3 linked regions of the Astyanax mexicanus genome follow. The protein of the gene in region 2 interacts with the protein of the main gene of each other region in a pairwise test. Links are inferred from orthologs where the notes say so. Each region holds a gene or a part of one and is shown on either strand. Other genes may lie near its edges.

The links. The genes of interacting proteins can lie anywhere in the genome.
Region 1: the proteins of rbfox1 (region 2) and bhlhe40 interact in binary tests that used the Homo sapiens proteins (3 or more experiments, as listed by UniProt). The link is inferred for Astyanax mexicanus from reciprocal best matches to the Homo sapiens genes RBFOX1 and BHLHE40.
Region 3: the proteins of rbfox1 (region 2) and fam168a interact in binary tests that used the Homo sapiens proteins (3 or more experiments, as listed by UniProt). The link is inferred for Astyanax mexicanus from reciprocal best matches to the Homo sapiens genes RBFOX1 and FAM168A.

What each region holds. Positions count from the first base shown.
Region 1 is NC_064431.1:29,014,190-29,021,267, forward strand, and holds the start of bhlhe40 (class E basic helix-loop-helix protein 40), read left to right. Parts: upstream 1-4,075; 5' UTR 4,076-4,377; coding exon 4,378-4,454; intron 4,455-4,737; coding exon 4,738-4,801; intron 4,802-5,215; coding exon 5,216-5,323; intron 5,324-5,827; coding exon 5,828-5,951; intron 5,952-6,169; coding exon 6,170-7,023; 3' UTR 7,024-7,078. UniProt on the Homo sapiens protein: Transcriptional repressor involved in the regulation of the circadian rhythm by negatively regulating the activity of the clock genes and clock-controlled genes.
Region 2 is NC_064426.1:5,886,213-5,893,570, reverse strand, and holds the start of rbfox1 (RNA binding protein fox-1 homolog 1), read left to right. Parts: upstream 1-4,295; 5' UTR 4,296-4,851; coding exon 4,852-4,950; intron 4,951-7,358. UniProt on the Homo sapiens protein: RNA-binding protein that regulates alternative splicing events by binding to 5'-UGCAUGU-3' elements. Regulates alternative splicing of tissue-specific exons and of differentially spliced exons during erythropoiesis.
Region 3 is NC_064416.1:5,958,348-5,965,983, reverse strand, and holds the start of fam168a (protein FAM168A), read left to right. Parts: upstream 1-4,633; 5' UTR 4,634-4,844; intron 4,845-7,636.

The DNA.
Region 1 (7,078 bases), on a different chromosome or scaffold from region 2:
TTAAGGGGAGCTTTCCACACAAGCACACTAGGCCTCCTTCATTCGCAGTTAAAGCAGCAAGCCGATTGGCTCTTTTTGTTAAAGAGTGGGATTTAAACGGACGTTGGTGTTGAGGCCACACTAATAATTCACTACAATTCACATGACCTTGCCATGAGCACAGTGACCAGTGTTCAGCCTTACTCACAAGACAACACCTCAGAACGTATATATACCCCTATGCATCACCTTACAGCCCCCCTGCAGCTGTTACAGTGGGTATGGAACTTTACGAGGTCTCTTAACCCTTTTAGACTCTTCATCCATTACAATGGACATCATGTATTTTCTTATTTTTTCAAATGTTTTATTGCACGGAACACTAATCGTGACCTGTTGTTAATCAGAATAGAGTATAAATGAGCCAATGAAAAAGTTTATAAGCCAATGAAATAGCCAATAGTTTAGCCCCGCCCACTCTTGGGGGGAAAAAAACAGCACTAGAGCCCAAGGGACAAATGGAAAATAATTAATTTTTCATTATTTTAGTGATTTAGAACACTTTTTTAATGAATGTTTTAGTGTTTAGGGATAGCATGTGATGTTTCAATCCAATACACAAAAAACAATAAGTCTTCCTTTGTGTACATTACAGATAGAAAACAGCATTATTATGGCACAAAATTCAGGCCTGAAAGGGTTAAAACCATTTATATCCAAGGAATGGGAGAATTTTTGCAAAAAACCTGGACTGTTAATATCATCGACAGAGAATGAGACAAAAAAGGCATTGTATAAAACTTTTACATCATCACAAACTAATCTAATAAAGACAATTGAGAGATGAAAACGTGGGTTGGAAGCAAACATTATAATACAATAAATAAAAATGAGAGAAAGCATTTAAAACAGGGCATTCATTTAATAATAACCTGACATTAGAATGAGATTGGAAAATAAAAACCCTTCTATTATGTCACAGTTCAGTTATATAGTATAAAAAGGCTGTTGTTATTGTTCTTCTGAGACACTGAAGTTATGAGATACAAGGTTTTGCTAATGTAACATTTAGAAGCGTTAATGTAAAGGTTATTTCTCTGGAAGGTTCAGATCATGTCCTGTTTTCAGATTACTGTATTACTGCACTCAGCCGGGTTTAAGAGTTTACAGACCAGTCAGCCCCTCCCTCTGTGATGACGTCACTAAGAAGCCCACCACAGAAGCCCACAAGATAAAGGGGTAAATTGAGAGAAAAAGATTAACAGATAGATAGATAGATAGATAGATAGATAGATAGATAGATAGATAGATAGATAGATAGATAGATAGAGTGATTATTATATAATCATAATTCTTGATTAATAATGAAATTATCATAATCATGATTCATTTTGTTATAAATATTTTTATGTCTGTTGTGTATGTTCATACCAATGTTGTTAATTGTTATAATGCTTTGGCAACACTAACTCATAGTCATGCTAATAAAGCTACATTATATTAAAAATTGAATTGAGAGCGAGAGACAGGGAGAGAGGTTAACTGAGGGAGAGAGGGAGAGAGGGGGAGAGAGAGAAAGAGAGAGGTAAATTGGTAGGAAGAGGTCAATTGGTAGAGAGAGGTTAACAGAGAGAGAGAGAGAGAGGATAAACAGAAAAAGAAGGTAAACAGGGAGAAAGATATAGAGAAATAAAGAGGATCAATATAATCATTTTTAATTATTGGTATTTTATTAACTACTGATGTCTCTTATTTTGTAATAATTGATTTGTTTTGTTGTAATAATTGTTGTGATTCTTAAATAATATTATTGTTATTACATTCACAATAAAGCTTTACTTAATAAAAGCTGTACTTTAAATCATTAATCTTACAGAAAGGTAAACAGAGAGAAAGAGAGAGAGAGTGTGTGTCTGTGTTTGTGTGTGTGTGTGTGTGTGAGATGTAATCGGGCATTTCAATCAGAAGCTGATAAATTTGCTTCACCCAGAAAATAAACATCACGTGACCGCTGTTTACCCCCCCCGCAAAAAAAACTCGATCAGGCGCGCGCGTGTCCCGCCGCCACCCGGTTAATAATAAATAATGATATAAGTAAAAGGGCGCGCGCTCTGGCTGTGTGACGTCAGCGGCGGGATTTCAGTCCGCGCCATGAGCAGATCAACGTGACCGGAGCGGGAGAGCGCGCGCGCGGCACAGAAAAGAGAGTGTGGTGCCGCACGTGCCCGAGAGCGGTGTCGGTGATACGGTGAGTGCACGAGCTGGACCTGGACAACAACAACAGCCTGCACGAGCCTCGGTCCTGCGCTCATCAGCATGAATCACCAGTCTGATCACCTATTAAATCACACAGCGCGAGCTCTGATATCTATCGATAATCTTACACTTAATCCATTGCTGACACAGATGTGCAAATGCACACACAAAGCTTGTTTAGTGTCTGTGGAAGTCTGTCGTCTGTCTATCTACTCCAAATTGACAACCCTTCTGATAAATGCATTAACATATTTTAAGTTGCACCTATTGCTGACACAGCGGTGCAAATGCACACAATTGGTCTAGCTCTTATAGAGAACTACTGCCAATAGAATAGAACAGAATAGAATAGAATAGGAGTGTACAGAGTGCTAGAGAGTGGTGTGTTTTAAAGAATTTGTGGTCTGACCTCTGGTTTCATCTTATTACACCTTCTCTCGTGGTACACTGATCTGACCCCTGGGCTGCTCCTCAAACTGACTAAGTCCTAAACACCCATTTTACATGACACTGACAGGGGATCAGTTTTCATGCACAGCCCAAATCAATGCATCCTGGTTCAGATGAGAAAAATGTCCATTTAATCTAAAGCTAAACATGTTATAAACCAGTATATGCTATGTTCTGTATCTAATGATGTAAAGCAATATGAAAAAAGAACCAATTGAATTATTACTTTGCATGTCTGTCTATCATTTAAAAAACAATCCAACTAAAACACATTTTTATTAACCCCCCCAACCCCCCCAAATAATCCGTGTTTGTGTTCTTGTTATGTAGTAAGTAGCACGTGTGGACTCATGCGCGAGAGAGACATCCAATCGTCTGTCTGTACTTCTATCCATCCATCTATATCCAACTGTCTGTCAGTCTGTCTGCATACGTTACTACATGCTGTAAATAATACTGCAAATCCTTCTAAGCATTTTATTAAATGTTAGTTATTATTAACTAAAACATTTTATTATAACAATATTTATGTCTGTCTATCTATCGATCTATCTATAATCAAACTGTGTTTATCCAAGTAACCACTATATGCTGTAAATAATGCTGCAAATCATGCTAAGCATATTATTGTTATTGTTGCTATTATAATAAACTAAAAACACATTTTTTATTATTAAAAAAACAAAAAATCTGTCTATCTAACAGTCTATGTATTTATCTGTAATCCAACTGTGTCTGTCTATCTAAGTAAGCCACTATTTGCTGTAAATCATGCTAAATATGCATATTATAATTGTTATTATTATTTTTATTCTTCCGTTTGTCTGTCTGTCTCCATCTATCTATTTTCTGCTGTTCATGATTAAAGTAGCAAAACAAAATACAAAAAAAACACGAAATAATCGCTGCGCGTGTTCTTGTGCGTGTTCTTGTTGTTGTGTAGTAAGCGGCGCTCGCGCGCGCTTGACTCGCTGTGTGAGAGCGAGCGAGCGCGCGATAGCGAGCGAGCGAGAGAGCGCGTGGTGGTACACGCGACACAGGCTGGGGACCTTCTGGAACGTTTTCTTTTTTTCTCTATCCTTTAGCCCCGCCCACCCGTGCCTCTCCGCGCTGCTGATCTGCGATTGGCGGGCTGAACGGACTGAATGGGATTACGCTGGCCAATCGGGAGAAGCTAGGGGCGGGGCGTGCCGAAAAACGGGTGGGAATAACAAAAGAAGTGTCCTGAGAACTGGCGGGGGGAACAGCGCCGTCCAACACGTGAGGCTCATGTGACGGAGGTAGGTCAGTTTAGAGAGAGAGAGAGAGAGAGAGAGAGGGAGGGAGGGATAGAGAGAGAGAGAGAGAGAGAGAGAGAGAGAGAGAGAGAGAGACGTGTCTGTAGTCACAGGGTTTTTTATTTAACACGTAGCTAGTCCAGTTCACCCTCCCACACACATATAGCTCTAGATACAACACACACACTCCTCCTTCATACACACTCTCACACAAACATTTAACAGGAGAGGAGCTTCAAAACTGTCTGAGTTGACGACAAACCACCTTTACGCAAGGACGTTATGCACTTTCCCTGCGGATTTCTTTGAGAACAAGTTCGTTTTTGGCAATTTATGAGCATTTAAAAGCTGTTTCGGCTTCATTTTCGTTAGAAATCGTTTTTTCCTGCGTTATTTTACGCGTAAACGAGACGAAATGGAAAGGATTACAAGCGCACAGCCTCCACCGTGTATGACCAAACACCCCTCTATGGATATTTCAGATATGCCGGGGTAAGTAGCTGGAAATGGGGCAATTTCAGGTCCTCTGAGTAGGAATTCGCCCCTGGATTTCGCTCCAACTGCCTGGGCGGCTCTGCTGCAGCTTGGAGCGAAATCCCGGGACGGATTTGGACTCACAGGCTTTCTAGGCAACTTAAATCATTTTAATCTGTTTTAAAATAGGGAAAAACAAGTCTTATAACATATATTTCTAAAAATACAACTTAATGTCATTTTACTAACTTTTTCTTTATTATTTTCTCATTATTTCTCCCCTTTTCCAAATCTTATTCAGAATGGATTTCCCAATGTATGTGTACAAACCTCGGAGAGGCATGAAACGAGGAGACGACAGCAAGGTAAATACTTAAAAAACAATCAAATATATGGGTGAATATATATATATATATATATATATATATATATTATACACATTGTACACTGCTATTAATTTAGTTAATAATATTCATTAAAACATACAGAAATATTTATAATTGAAGGAATTAAACAAAATAAAATATTAATACATTTGTGCAGCTCACAACATTACACTTGTAGAAAAAAGTTCCTGTATATGCATTTAATGAATGAATGAATTGATTGATTATTTATTTATTTATCTATCTGTCCATGCCCCACGCATGCAAGCTGCACAGCTAGAGCTTATCGTTTTTTAAATGTTTTAAAGTTTTGAATAGTAGTTTAGTAAACTTTTAATTCTAGTTTTAATTTAAACATTATAAAATGAACATGCTCTTGTTTGTTCACCACAGGATACGTACAAGCTGCCACATCGCTTGATTGAAAAGAAGAGACGTGACAGAATAAACGAGTGCATCGCTCAGCTGAAGGATTTGCTCCCTGAACACCTTAAACTCACTGTAAGTATAGCTCTGTGGGAGTGGATTGGAGTGAGTGTGTGGAGCACCAGAGCTCTAAAGCGTCCTCTGGTGGTTGACCTGGAGGAGTTTTCTTATTTTTCACACTTTTATTTTGTGCTGTGACGTGCATTCGAAGCATTTATTGACTTGACTGTTTAGTATACTCATTTGTTATCTATTCGCTTGGCTATTCATTGCGGTTGACTTGCTTGACCGTGATACATTTACAGGATGGTGCATGCACAAGCACAAGTTTTGAGTTTGCATGCTCATGAAGTTTAAAAAAAGTTTAAATATAATTTGTAGAATCTCAACTGAACTAAAACAGTTTGAAATGTTTTTTAACAAGTCTAAGCTTAGGCTTTAGGTTTGTTAGATGTTTTGCAATGCCCGCTGCGTCTCAGTGTCGCTCTCGCCTGGCGGAGAGTTTGTCCTCGGCGAGGCAGCTGAGGGAGCGTTACATAAGAAAGATCAACATGCTTATCTGAGTGCTTCCTCTTTTAGACGCTGGGCCATTTGGAGAAGGCCGTGGTGCTGGAGCTCACGTTAAAGCATGTGAAAGCCCTCAACGGCCTTCTGGAACAGCAGCAGCAGCAGATCATTTCATTGCAGAGCGGAATGCAAATTGGTAAGTTAAAATAAACACTTCATGTAAAGCCGTTTTCCTGCTTTCCTGCTTTCTGAGTAACACGGCGATCTGTTCTCAGAACTTCTGTCACTTGTGTTTGTTCTCTCTTGTGCATGAGTTCACATCAGTCCAATGTTTTTGATGCAACCTGCATCCTGAAATCTTTCTCTCAACTTATTATTAACACATGCTCTACTTTTTTTCTATCTGTTCTGCAGGTGATCAGAGCAATGGCAGCTCAGAAAACAGCGAAGAGATGTTCCGTTCCGGTTTCCATCTCTGTGCCAAGGAGGTACTCCAGTATCTGGCCAGCTTGGAAAGCACACGGGACCTGACCCCAACACACGTTGTCAACCACCTGCACAAAGTGGCTGCTGAGCTCCTGCAGCGTCCAGCCAGCCCCCGCCTGGACACGCCCTCGCCTGGTCGCAAGGGTCAAGAGGCCAGGGAGAAGGCAGCTGCTCCCCAGCCCTGCTCGCCGGAGGGCCACGCCAAAAACTGTGTCCCGGTCATTCAGAGAACGTACAACCCCCAGATCAGCGAACAAAGCGGCAGCGACACAGACACAGACAGCGGCTACGGGGGCGAGCTGGACAAACGAGACTCCAAAGGCCAGAGAATCAGCTACTACAGCAAAGACGCCGCAGAGATGAAGCACGGCCGGTACGGCAGCATCAAGGAGGAGCGAGACGAGCCCCAGGCCAAGCGGGTCAGGTCGGATTCGTCCGAGGACGAGTCTCTGTCGGGTCACGAGTCGCACGGCGGGTACGTGAGCTTCTCGCCCCACCAGCCGCCGCTCTGCATGCCCTTCTACCTCATCCCCCCCACAGCGGCAGCTGCTGCCGCCTACCTGCCCATGCTGGAGAAGTGCTGGTACCCAGGGGGCATGCCTGTGCTGTACCCGGGCATCGGGGGCTCCACGGCTGGGCTGTCTCCTGAAAAACTGCCCTCGTCACTGGTCATGTCTCCGAGAGTAGCCTCCCCGGCTGCCCCTCAGACCCCTATGGACTCTCCTGCTCTCCTTCAGGCCCTGAAACAGGTGCCCCCCTTAAACCTGGAAACCAAAGACTGAACTAACTAACTATAAATAAATAAATAAATAAAAACACCCCCAGCCCACCCTCTGA
Region 2 (7,358 bases):
AGTGTGAGTTAGGATAACTCTTAACTAGACTAAGTTAATCTGTATCTTACATGTGAATTAGGAGGTAGAACCTCTAATTAAACTGCAGTAACTCAAAAAGTCATAACATACAGGATGAATTGAGGGAGGGGGAGGACTAAAATGCTTTTGACTAAACTTACAGTTGAGTTAACTCGAACCCCTTTAAGTCAAGTTTTTAAGTTGGCCTGCCTGTTAAATTTTTAATGGGTGCAAAACCTCTGAGGTACAGAAGCGGATCGAGGCTGGAGGAGCGAGCAGGGCGAAACGCAGCAGCTCAGCTACTCTCTTATTCAGCAAAAGCTGAAGACAACAGATCCAGCACTGCAGAGGGTAGCTGTGCTCCATCACGTGGCGAGGCCGGAGCAGCGGATACAGAGGGAAGCATGGGTATAGGGGACGAGGGAAGGCGTGGCATGTGAAGCCCGGCGCAGATGACAATTCTCGAACACGGGTCGGCGCCCGGTGCGACTATTTTTTGCAGCGGGAGGCGCAGAGGACAGGCCGGAAGAGAGACGGAGAGGAAGACAAAACGTGTCTGTAGTCAGGGAAGGGGGGGGTAGAGTTTAAAAAAATAAAGCATCCTTGCCTGAAGGCATGAAGAAGGGAGGAGAAGCAGGAGTAAAATAGAGCAAAGCGTTCTGCTGCCCTCTCTATAATGCACGCGTTCATCCTCCTCCAGCTCCGAAGAAGGCCTTTCTCTTTTTTTTAATTACGCACCCTTGTGCAACATGGAGCGCCATCGATTTTCATGACTTTGTTCTATTATAGTAACAAGCGTCTGAAGCCTTCTTACCCGAGTGCCGTCGGTTCGCGATGTCGACTCGCGTAGTAGCGCTGGGGGGCGGGAGGAAGGGGGGAGGGGGGGGGGGGGGTAGAGAGAAAAAAAACAGATAAGTAAGATTAAAGAAGGAGAACATGAATAATTCACACTCTCTTCCCCACCAAACTGTAATGTCATGTTTGCCGTTGTTGGTTAGACCTTGGATCCGCACTTGAATCAAATATCAGCCTTTTTTTTTCCCCTCCTAATACAACATGTTTTTATCACTATTAATGGATCTTCAAGGTGTTGTTGTGTGTTATAGGAGTCGGTTTAGGCAATTTTGCCTGATTTGACTCCAAACTGCTCTGGACTCTGAATGCTAACCACCGCGTGCTGCTGCAATGAATTATTTACTGCTGCGTGTGCCACCCTGCTTCAGGTGAATGGTGGGTTTTGGAAGCTGTGAATAGAGCAGGCAAAAAGAGTGTTTTTTATTTTTATTTTCCACAGGCCCCTCAGTACCTGCCTCGTTTTTCTCTGGTCAGACTGGCATTTTACGAATAAGAGGCTCTTCTCACATTTAATTAATGATGTGCCTACCCTTAAATAATGGAGTTAAAGGAGTTATTTATTATTAGAGGTTGAACACTCTTGCATGGGGCCTTCAGCTTGTCAGAAAGAAAGAATTCTAGCACTTACTGTATATTGGATCCAGGTATTGTGCTGTGAAAGTAATCTTTATGAAAGTAGTATGGAGTTAGTTGCATTCCTACATTAAAAGACCTTAAAAGAGGTTTTTACTTAGTATTGTAAGTATTGTTATTAGGCTCGTAACAACAGTGGACGCCTTGTTTTGGTGCAGTTTAGGAAAATTTCTTAAACTGTAATTTTTTTGTTTGTTGTAGCTGCAGAACAATTTAGTTCACTTATTAGACACAAGTCAATTATTGTCAAATGCAGTGGTCTAGCAGTCTTAAGCACTGCTACTATGATCGGGAGATTGCATGTTCGAATCCCGGTCATGCAGCAGTTGGAAAGTGTGGAGAAGGTGGCTGACTTCACATGTATCAGAGGGGGCATGTGCTAGTCATAACTAGTGATGCAGGATATACAGTTGGCTAGCAGCTAAATTAACATAAATTTAACGCTTATTTTATTTGTTTTTTTTTGTTTGTTTATCTGCCTTTGCTTATCAAATGTAACCCTTACTAAAACCCTCACCCACTTTAATCCCCTAAGACCCGTACTCTTGCATTGCATGCATTTTTTATTTCTTTTTGCTGTTTGGGCTAATTGGCTCCTGATTAATGGGAAAACAAAGAATTATCTTTTTACATGATGTAGTTTCTGAGAAAAAAAAAATATGGGTTACATAGGTTTATATTTTGATAGAACAAAATATTCATTTAAATTTCTGAACAAAATCCAGACTGCAACGTGTTAAAATCTACTGACAGTATAATGTCCTCATAAGAGGACACCAGGCTCTTGTAGAGCAAAATTTAGTGTTGTGGTCTAGACAACCCAAAATGTGATGTCCACACATGTGGACGCCAGGTCCTAGGAGGTTAATGAATGTGTATGTTTGTTAGTACATGCTTGAGAATCACCTTGATAGAAATGTGAGACATTTTCTAATGCTGATTACAGGATGGATTCAGGACAGGTATTCTGGGACAGTGTGTTAGGTCATACAGGACATGTATGTCATGGGCTGTGAATGACAAAGCCATTTTTAATTCAAGGTGTCTGCTAGAAATACTATATTTGTACCTCCATAATCCTGTTTTGCTCCCTATTTTTTTTTCAACTCATTTACACTAGTATACATCAGCTGAATACAAATGAGGAGTTTTTTAACATGTCCCCTCATTGCCTGAAGGCTGACAGATGGACACACTGTAAGCTTCGGTTCTATATAGTACTGAAACAGAGTTCTTTGGCATGTAAAAATAGTGGAACTCTTTTTTGTGTGTTAGAATATTTTAAAAATCACAAAGCACTGGAACACTGCACTTACTTTTTATATTGTACACCATAAACCAATCATCTCGAGTATAAAAAACCACCTGTCCCCCTTGTGCCACTTAAAGCAGCAGTTCTATGTGTTTTTCTTTTAAGCTAAAAGTATTAGTGCTGCTGAGTAGAAAGAGGACCAACTGTTCTAACTAATTTATTCTCTAAATCCACAAAACTTGACTGTCGCTTTTAAAGAGCTCTGACCTGTAAAGGCATCAACTCCACAAGACCTCTGAAGGAAATCTGTGGTATCCTCTGGTACCAAAGCCAAGAACGTTAGCAGCAGATCCCTTAAGTCCTTAGAGTTGGGAGGTGGGACCTTCACTGATCTTATCAGTGAGCCTTGGGAGCCCTTGACCCTACTCGCGGTTCACCAGTTGTTCTTTCCTGGAGCACTTTTTGTAGATATGCTTCACAAGAACACCTTGGCATACCCTGAGGTTTGGGAGATTATGTGAACCTCCAGTAATCTACCCATTAATGTTTGCTTATTGCCAAAGCATCTCTTTAGTATTATGCTGGAAAAGTGTTTAACACACCAGCGTTAATAACTGGCTTTATATATCATTGTATTAAATGAGTAATATAGGAAAAATATGAAAAAAAAAAAAACAGTAGAGTAAAGAAGGCTTTTCCCTGGTTAATGTTCATAACTTCTTCCCTCAACCATTTAACCAAGTCCAAGTCTACATCCCGCTGTAATATTTGTTTTTACTGCATTTCCCTTAACTCATTCACTCTAATAGAAATACTCAGCCTAAAATAGCTGTGTAATATTAATAATAACCAAACACCTGCCATAATAACCCAACCCAGATGGTTCGGATGAGTTGGAGCGAAAAGTGAACAAGCTTGTTTGTGTTTTGCCATTTAGCACAAGCTAACACTAATCATCAAGATGTATTTGCATAAAAGTGACAGAGCCCTTAAAGTATTAATCAGCTGAAATGAATGAATAAATAAATAAATACATAAATAAATAAATACAGCTTCAGGTCAGAAAAGACCACTTAAAAAATTTGAGTTTCTTTAATTTTACCCAGTGAAAAACCTATGGAATATAATCAAGAGGAAGGTGGATGACCACAATCCATCAAATCAAGCTGAACTGCTTGAATTTGTGCACCAGGAGTGGCATAAAGTTATCCAAAAGCAGTGTGTAAGACTGGTGGAGGAGAATGAATATAAACTTGTTTTCTTTGCATTATTCAAGGTCTTAAAGCTCATAGAAAAGCTTTTTTTGTTATTTCAGCCATTTCCATTTTCTGTAAATAAATGCTCTAAATGACAACATTTTATTTGGAATTTTGGAGAAATGTTGTCCGTAGTTTATATAATAAAACAACAATATTCACTTCAAACATAAATAAACAACCCTCCCACGGCGAGCATTACTCCGCCCCCAGCCCTTATGGCGCATCTCTGATTGGCTATCTCTCGCCGAAGTCCCGCCTCCGCCCGCCTCGAGCGTTCCATTCCACGCGGAGCTTCATACATACGCGCGCGCGAAAGTGGCGCTCTCGCGGATGAGGGAGAGCCGTTAGCGGAGCGGCGGTTAGACTCAGTCAGGCTCAGTGTGTGTTTGTATACAGTGTGTGTACAGGCTTCTCCCAGCTGCTAAAGTTCGCTTTAAACACCCGGAGACGCTAGCTTTTCACCGCTTACCGTCAGCGGGAAGCGGGTTAGTCTGTATTTAAGAGGATAACCTGCTTGTTTGAGCGCGTTTGGACCGGAACCGGTGGAAAAACAGACAGAAACTGCGAACTAAAGAGAGCAGGCTGCAGCTCCGAGCCTAGGAACCAAAAACAGAGAGATAAAAGGTTCATTCTGAGGTAAATTTCAGTAGTTTTAGGTGATATTTCTGTAATTCGGAGGTTTAAAACCCGGTTAAACCCGCTTCGTCTTTTTCAAACCGCAAAACAACCGTTGAAGACAAAGCCAGGCGCTCGAGCGCGGACCGCGAGCCGAGACACGCGCGCCTCACCGCCTCCGCCTCCTCCACCGTTCCCGCTCAGCCCGGCGGCGCTGCCTCAGCCTCCAGCCCAGCCATGCAGCATCCCCTCGCGGGCGGCCCGTGCGTCGCTCTGCCCCGGGTGGACGTGTGTCCGCAGCTCTCCTGTGCCTTGACGTTCATGTACTTACAGCAGGTGAGTGGATGGAAGGATGGGTGAGTGTGCAGAGAGAGAGAGAGAGAGAATGAGTGAAAACTGAACGGGAGTAGTGCTGCTACGATTAGTCGGCACAATCGACAGAATAATCAACTTCAAGATCAACAATATGTATAATATATATAACAATATATAGTCAATGTTGACTAATAATCGTCAGTGTATGTATACTGCACTTCACACTACACTACACTAGAGTTAAAAGCTGCTCAGCCACTCACCAATTAGTCGATTAGTCAGCATAATCGACTTTGTTGATTAGAAATATTTCAATCTTTACTAATAAACTGCTTTTTTATCCCATGCACTTTCTTTTTATAGAAAGTAACTAAACACTTCTAAAATGTTTGAATTCACTTTGAATGCTTCCTTCAAAGAGAATTTTACACAGTATTGTTTAAGTTGTTTTGCTATTTTTAGTAGTTTCTACCCTGATACTGTTAAAATAGGATGCAATAATTACATTATCAACTTATATACATGTTATATACATTACCTGCTGACCTCTATATTAGAGTATTATTAGTGTTTAATTGACAAGACATCATGTTAAAATTGTTTAGGATATTAAATATAGCATATTTTAAGTTCCAGTTCCATTGTGTAAATAATGTAAATAATAATTAAACATATTTATTCCATGCTCTTATTTTTGTAGAAAGTAACTAAACATGTCCAAAAATGTTTGACTTCACTTCCTTCCATTAAAGAGAATATTACACAATATTGTTTCTTAAGCTTTTGTTTTGCTTTTTTTTTTTTAATCTGTTACTGTTACAATAATTACATTATTGTACGTTTTTTTTTTCTAATTTATACACATTACCTCAAAATAGTCAGTTCCAGTTTCAATGTCTAAATACTCTTAATAATTCAAAGTATTTTGCTTTGAGTAAAGTAATGAGTAATGCATTATTATCCTGAAGTATTAGCATTTTATAATTGGCATTAAACCGTTCCCAAAATGAAAATAATGTCAGTATTCAATCACAGTTATTTCTTGGACAAAACATAATCTACAACTTTTTTTTTATAATGACAGGCCTAGTATTCAGGCTCAGACAGTGTACTGCAATTGCAATTCATTTTTTTAAAAATGAATAAAAAAAAAACTATATAAACAGTACTTTTATCTTTTCAGTAAGTTTGTTAGTGTTTACAATACTATATAAGATATGTTTTTACTTTTGTTTGCAATTCGTTTGCAAGATGATTCTAAAAATAAGTAATTTAACTTTACTATAAATGTGTCTGTCTCTAATAGTGTATTTAAATTGCTGTTGAAAGCAACTGTTTATAGTTTTACTGTACACTTTATTTTTTTGTGATTCAGAGCTGAGGATTGATTTAATAGCCCATTATATAAAATGGTCAAAAACTACATAAACAGTAAGTTGCCTTTTTGTAAATGTAGTTTCAGTGTAGTTAGTGTATACACTATTATGTTAAACAAATCAATCTAAACATTATTAAAATTGTAAGACATTATAGAGTGAAACTATATTGACATTTTTAATGACCAATTATGATTAAGTCAAATGCATGAACACCTAATTAAACAAAGCAGTGTAAAGTTGGTGAGACATGCTTCAGTGTGAACGATGCTTAAATTCACCATCATCATTAATGCAACCTAAAACATCACCTGATTCCTCTGATGTTGTGGTATTATGTTACCAGTGTTGTGATACTAGTAAGTTACTAACATCACTTAACACTTAATACAAGACACCTTTATTTGTGGTTTAATGTGGTTTTACATGTATATATTTATATATAATACATGTGAAACTCCTGTTTTTGTAGTATGATTGCATAGTGTAACTGTAGTTTTAACATTGTAGTTTTTAAAGTGTGTCATCATTTTATGTTGGACTGTCCAATGGAAATGCCCCAAAATGGAATTAAATATTTTGACATTGACTTCTATTGGAAGTTTAGAAGGTTGATGTAATGTAAATGCTAAGAGTCTGCCGGATTTATACACTGATCAGCTGCATAATATTAGCACCACCATTTAAGGCAGAGTCCCATGATATCTGGCGCCAAGACATACATTAGCAGCAGATGCTTACAGATAAGTCATGTAAGTTTTGGAGTGAGGCCTCCATGGGACACATCAGTGAGTCTTAGGTGTCCATAACCCTGTTGTCAGCTTACTGGTTGTCCATTCTTGGACAACTTCTAGTCGATTGAGACTAAAGGGCAGCACAATATTGGAAGATCTTTACATTGTGATATTTTGTTGTTCTGCAATATATATTGCAATATTAAAAATCTGCAATCTGTGTATCAAAGTGTATCTCATTTAAAATGAGAATGATGTGATTTTCATCTGTTTCAAACTGCAAAAAAAGTAAAAAACAGATATAGTTTAAAAGTAATTT
Region 3 (7,636 bases), on a different chromosome or scaffold from region 2:
GTAATTCAGATCAGACAGGAGCAGTTGTGGCACCTTGTCGAGTTAGATTCCTTCACAGATCATTACACACACTCGCGGGGAACGCCGGCGCGAGAGCGGGCGCGCGAGAGCACGCTCATAAATGTGTGATAAATGAAGGCGAGGTGAGGCTGGTGTAGCTTTAATGCTGCACGCCGCGGCAGAAGCTATTAGCATCAGGATCGAAACAGGTGCCATGCAGACAGCTGCTGATGTACATTACTGATTAAACAGTGACACCGACTCACGTACGCCAGCGTAATTTGATTGAACACGGAAGATCAAACATGAGAGAGAGAGAGGGAGAGAAATAAAGAGAGAGAGAGAGAGAGAAAGAGAGAGAGAGAGAGAGAGAGAGAGAGAAAGAGATAGAGAAGCTTCATAAACTCTTATAGGCCACAACTGTAGCCAAGCGTAGTGCATTAGCAGTCAGGCTAATGATAATTCAATATGCTCTCTTTATATATTATCGCTTTTAGTGTCCGAGCATCACTCAGAGTCATTCCTCACGCTCTGCTGCTTTCTCGCCAATGTGGAGCCAGGTTTCCCTCTACTGGCACATCTGTGGTACTGCAAGAAAAAGTGTGTGAAATCTTTGGGAATTACTTGGATTTCTGCATAAGTTGGTCATTAAATGTGTTCTGATCTTCATCTAAGTCACAACAATAGACAAACACAGTCTGCTTAAACTAATACCACACAAAAAAATTATATGTTTGCATGGCTTTATTGAATACAACATGTTAACATTCACAGTGAGGGTGGAAAAAGTATGTGAACCTCTAGGCTAATGACTTTTCTAAAAGCTAATTGGAGCCAGGATTAAAAAACACAAACACCAGTTTAGAGTTTGTTGTTCTTAAGAAGCATTGCTTGAGCTCTTAGAAGACCTACGTTCAAGAGTTGTTGACTTGCATGAAGCTGGAAAGGGTAACAAAAGTATCTCTAAAAGCCTTGATGTTCACGTGTCCACGGTAATACAGACGCTCTACAAAAGTTCAGCACTGTTGCTACTTTCCTTAGGCGTGGTAAAGTCCTGTAAAGATGATTGCAAGAGCACAGCGCAGAATGATCAATGAGGTGAGGAAGAATCCTAGAGTGTCAGCTGAAGACTTACAGAAATCTCTGGCACATGTTACAATCTACGTACAATAAGGAAACATTAAACAAGAATTGAGTTCATGGGAGGACACTACGGAGGAAGCCACTGCTGTCCAAAAAAACATTGCTGCACATTTGAAGTTTGCAAAAGAGCACCTGGATGTTCCACATTACTACTGGCTAAATATACTGTGGACAGATGAAACCAAAATTGAGTTGTTTGGAAGGAACACAAAACGCTATGTGTGAAAAAAAAAGGCACAGCACACCATCATCAAAACCTCATCCAACTGTGAAACATGGTGGAGGGAGCATCATGGTTTGGGGCTGCTTTGCTGCCTCAGGGTCTGGACGGATTGCCGTCATCAATGGAAAAATTAATTCCCAAGTTAACCAAGACATTTTGCAGGAAAACTTAAGACCATCTGTTCCTCAACTGAAGCTCAACAGAGGATGGATGATGCAACAGGACAACGACCCAAAACATAGAAGTAAATCAACAACCGAACGACTTCAACAGAAGAAAATACTGAGCCTTCTGGAGAGTCCTGACCTCCTGAACCCAACTGAGATGCTCTGTGGCATCATGACCTCAAGAGAGAGATTCACACCAGATATCCTGAAACAGTTTATTGAAGAGGAATGATCCAAAATTCCTTCTGACTGTTCTGCAGGTCTGATCTGCAGCTACAGGAAATGATTGGTTGAGGTTTTTGCTGCTAAATGAGGATCAACCAGTTATTAAATCCAAAGATTCACATACTTTCCCCTCACTGTGAATGTTAACATGTTGTGTTCAATAAAACCATGCAAACATAAATATATATATACATATATTTAGTGTGGTATTAGTTTAAGCAGACTGTGTTTGTCTATTGTTGTGACTTTTAATGAACAATTTATGCAGAAATCCAAGTATAATCCCAAAGAGTTCACATACTTTTCTTGCAACTGTATATGCTACTCACACTCAGAAGACGTTTCTACATTAGATATAGCTCTCCATTATCCGTTTTGTGCCCATTTTTTATCCACATGTTATCCACATTTTTATCCACATTTTTTTCTCTGTAAAACTGCTTTGTGACTACTTCTGTTGTAAAAAAGTGTTATATAAGTGAATTAAACTGATTTGAATTACAGACACACTGTTACAGACACACTGATACAAATATGCAGTTCCTGATACACTGTTACACACCTATCATTACAGACACTATCTGAACCATAAAATATATTATTAAAGATTACTGTACAGTGCAGTCTGTTATATTTAACCTGATTGTATCAGACACTTTCCTGCTTCTGGACATTTTTCTTTACTACATTTAATCAAGTTATTGTTTTTTAAGCTTATAAACCATGCTTTTATACGGACACAGTGTGTGTTTGAGGGTTTTACCCACTAGATGGTGGTGCAGTGCTTCCTATATCAAACTGCAGCCCCAGAAAGTTCTGTTCTGAAGGAAAGTGAGAAAGAAACTCCTTTATGATAGACATTCTAATGTCTCTTTTAATTATAGCAATGGTTGCAAATATATGTTGTTGAACATTAGAGGGTCCAGGGTCATCAGCTCACGTAAATGTATCTGTATGCATTTTACATCCGGTCCAGCCAGTACAAAAATTAGCAGTCTTGTATTCCTAAGTTGTCTAATAAAATAATAATAATAATAATAATAATAATAATAATAATAATAATAATAATAATAATAATAATAATAATATTATTAATAATAAAAATATTAATAATAATAATAATAATAATAATAATAATAATAATAATAATAATAATAATAATATGTATACTATACACTCTTTTAAAGGTGTGGACATTTAAAGCAGTACATCTGATCTTTCTCAAACATTTTCTTTGAATATGACAGTTTTTTAGATTTATATTTTTGATCTTTTTTCCTGACTTCTTACGATAATAAAGGATTATTATACTACAGTCATGGTCGAACATTTTGCCACTTTTGTACATATTTTCTCAAAAAATGAACAACAATTGTAAAACATAGCAATACAGCATTGTGTAAATAGGGCATAATCAGCCACAATCTAGTTCAAAAGAAATTCTAGCTGTCCTGCAGGCTCAGGGTGCATCAGTGTCAGTGTGAACTGTCTATCAAAATATATGGAAATAGGCCAAATATGGCATGAAAAGAAAAATAGTAAATACAGTAAAATATGTTGGAGGTTGTTTTGCTGCATCTGGTACTGGTAAATTAATATTATTATATTTTTTTATTTTTTATTGTTTATTCTTTAAATGTCTAATCACCATCAGAAAGCCTGTAACTATTTTAACTAGTTTAACTGGGTTTATTCTTTTTCTTATCATTTCAATTTTTTATTATTCTTTCTATTTATTTATTTATTTATTTATTTATTTTCTTAGGATCTAAGTTCACTATTGTTTATTTGCTGTTTCTCTTTTCTAACTCTTATCATTTGATTTTATCATTTACTTTTTTGCTATTATTATTTTTTTTTTCTTTATTTTAAATTTTATAATTTCTTTACTTTTTTGTTTTCTTTTTTTTTTAGGGGTCATTTTATTTAGGTTACCCTCTTGTATATTATATGTTTATACATTTAATTTATCTAGAATAAATATATTTATTCAAACTGTGTATTTATTATATTTAGAATTTTTTTTATTATTTCTAATTTCTTATCTAATGTTTTAAATCAGTTTTATATTGTAATTGTAAATGAGGGTCACCCTCAATGTACTAATGTACTCCTGAGTTAAAATAAATTACTCTTCTTAGTTTATTTCATCATTTACTTTTTACTATTTTTATTTGTTCTGTATTTTATCTTAATTTTATGAATTCTTAAATTTTTGTGAGTTCATTTTTAAGTGTTTTTTATATTTCACTCTTTTTTATATGTATATATTTTTATTAATCTATATTAAATATATTTATTTATTTTTTTCCTTTATTTTATTCTTTTTTTCTTATGTAATATTTTAAATCAGTTTTATACTATAATTGCGAATGAAGGTGCTCAATGTACTCCCGAGCTAAAATAAATGTTGAATGATTGATTCATTAATTGATTAATTGATTGATTGACTGATTAAATAATGAAACCATTTGCATTTTAATATGACTTAAACATTTATTATTTAAATATGTATTTCCACCCTTCAACCGCTAGAGTGCGTCTGTTGATCAAAGAAAATATGTCCTAAAATATAAATTATAGCGCCTCCTAGCGATTAGAGTTGGAAATAAATCTCAGTAAACGCTCAGCCAGGCTTTGCAGCATTCTGGGATTTGTAGTCCTTTAAGACCCCTGCAGTGTGAGTCCCGCCCCTCGCTCCTGATTGGACGCTGCTGGCTCTGTTTTTTTTGGAGCTACTGGTGTTGCGGTGCGTCAAATACGCATACATTCACTCACTCCTCCTCCTCCCTCCCTCCCTCCCTCTCTCTCTCTCTCTTTCCTTCTTTTGTGCCCCCCTAGCACCCTCCCACCCCTCGGTATCTGCCCCATCCCCCACTCTCTCCCTCTCTCTCTCTCTCTCTCTCTCTCTCTCTCTCTCTCTCTCTCTCTCTCTCTCTTGTATTTTCATCCTGCCTGCGTAAAAAAGGAAAGAGCAGCAGCAGCAGCAGCAGTCAGACTGCCGGATCTACAGCTACATAAAGCCTTCAGACCCGGAGCTACAAAGAAACCAGAGGCATCTAAACACCCAGGATCTGCCCAAACTGGTGAGTTTTAACCTCCACGCTGCTGTTTTCACTTTTTCCAGCTTTCTTTCTTTGCATGAACCCTCCCTTTCCAGCTGTCCATCCAGGAGAAAGAGAGAAAGAGAGAGGCTGGTTTGTTGGTTGGTGCTTGGTGGTTGGTTGGTGCTCCTCAATCCATGGCATCCAAAGCCATGGTAGGTACAGTAGGCATGGAGGCAAGGTGAGTTATGAAACACATATATAGCTACAGTAGCATCTTAGCTAGCTAGCATCATTATTGCTTATCATTGTTTAGCTATAAACTTGTGCGACTAGCTAATCTACAGGATGTATGGAATTGCTATTTTATGGATATATAAGGGATACATAATGCCACACTCCATTGGGCAAACCAAGAATAGCATCCCAAAATGGTGTCGGACAGGCTTTGAATGTGACCAGCTTTTCTATATATAACCTAAAATGATCATAAAGAACCAACACCAGGTCCAGATCTTCATTCTATACAGGAGAAAGAGAGAGAGATGGAGGGAAATAAAGCAAGAGAGAGAAAGAGAGATGCTGGTTTGTTGGTTGGTGTTTGGTGGTTGGTTGGTGCTCCTCAATCCATGGCATCCAAAGCCATGGTAGGTACAGTAGGCATGAAGGCAAGGTGAGTTATGAAACACATATATAGCTACAGTAGCATCTTAGCTAGCTAGCATCATTATTGCTTATCATTGTTTAGCTATAAACTTGTGCGACTAGCTAATCTACAGGATGTATGGAATTGCTATTTTATGGATATATAAGGGATACATAATGCCACAATCCATTGGGCAAACCAAGAATAGCATCCCAAAATGGTGTCGGACAGGCTTTGAATGTGACCAGCTTTTCTATATATAACCTAAAATGATCATAAAGAACCAACACCAGGTCTAGATCTTCATTCTATACAGGAGAAAGAGAGAGAGATGGAGGGAAATAAAGCAAGAGAGAGAAAGAGAGATGCTGGTTTGTTGGTTGGTGTTTGGTGGTTGGTTGGTGCTCCTCAATCCATGGCATCCAAAGCCATGGTAGGTACAGTAGGCATGGAGGCAAGGTGAGTTATGAAACACATATATAGCTACAGTAGCATCTTAGCTAGCTAGCATCATTATTGCTTATCATTGTTTAGCTATAAACTTGTGCGACTAGCTAATCTACAGGATGTATGGAATTGCTATTTTATGGATATATAAGGGATACATAATGCCACAATCCATTGGGCAAACCAAGAATAGCATCCCAAAATGGTGTCAGACAGGCTTTTAATGTGACCAGCTTTTCTATGTATAACCAGATATGATCATGAAGACCCACCACCAGGTCCAGATCTCCATTCGGGCCAGGAGAAAGAGAGAGAGGTGGTGGGAAAGAAAGCAAGAGAGAGAAAGAAAGAGAGAGAGGCTGGATCATTGGTTAGTGCTTGGGTAGTTTGGGGCTCCTCAATCCATGGCATCCAAAGCCATGGTACGTACTGTAGGCTGGAGGGAAGGTGTGTTATGAAACACATAGTTACCCTAGCATCCTAACTAGTTAGCATTCTTGGGTATTGCTTTCTAGCCTGCTAGCGAGCTAGCTAGTTAGCCATATTAGCCTAGCCTATACTATCTATAAGGATGTGAGGCACCCATGCACTCCATCCATACACCATGCTAATAATGCTCCACACCATTGGGCATAGCAAGCATAGCATCCCAAAATGGTGCCCAGCTTTTTTTATATAACCAAACATGACCATAAAGACCCACCACCAGGACCAGATCCTCATTCTGTCCAGGAAAAATAAAAAAGAGAGAATAAGAGAGGCTTTAGTTGTTGGTTGGTGCTCCTCAAACCATGGTACCCAAGCCATGAGTTATAAAACCCGTAGCTATCTTGCTTACCCTTACTTAGCTTGCTAAATCAGTCTTCGAATATATATGATGTATGAAGTTGCTATTTCATGGATATATGAGGATTTGAGATACCCAAAGAGGATGCCCTCCTTAACTCATTCACTCCATCCACTATGCTAATAATGCCTCACTTCACTGCGCCAACCAAACATAGTATTCCAAAATGCCAGATCTTCAATCTGACCAGAAGAAAAGAGATAGAAAGTGATAGAGCAAAGAAAAGAAAAAAGGAGAGAGTTTTTGGTTCGTTGGTGTGTTGGTTGGTTGGTCCTTGATTGGTGATTCTCAAACCATGACATCCAAGCTATATTAGCCGCCTTATCTGTAAGCTGTATGGAATTGCATGGATTTTTACATATAACCAAATATGATCATGAAGACCCACCACCAGGATGTTTGGAATTGGTATTGCATGGATATATGAGTGATATATGAATATATGGATATATGGATATATGAATTTGAGGCTCCCATCCACTTTATACACCAAGCTCCACTGGGCAAACCAAGCATAGCATCCCAAAAGGGTGTCCATTTTTTTTTGTTTATATATAAAACTAAATATGATGATGACTCACCACCAAGACCAGATCTTCATTCTGTCTAGGAAAGAAAGAGAGAGAGGTAAACACTTTTGGCCTGTACTGTATGGAAATGCTATAAATGTTTGAGGCAATGAGATACTCAAGAAAGATGCCCCACTTTACCAGATCTTCATTTTGTCCAGGAAAAGAAAGAGAGAGGGAAGTTAAGAAAGAAAGAGGGATTAAGAGGCTTAGTTGTTGGTTGATGGTGCTTAAACCATGGCACCCAAACCATGATGTTTTTGGTATGGAGTTACCCTAGCATCTTAGCTAGCTAGAATATGATGATCATGAAGACCCACCAGAT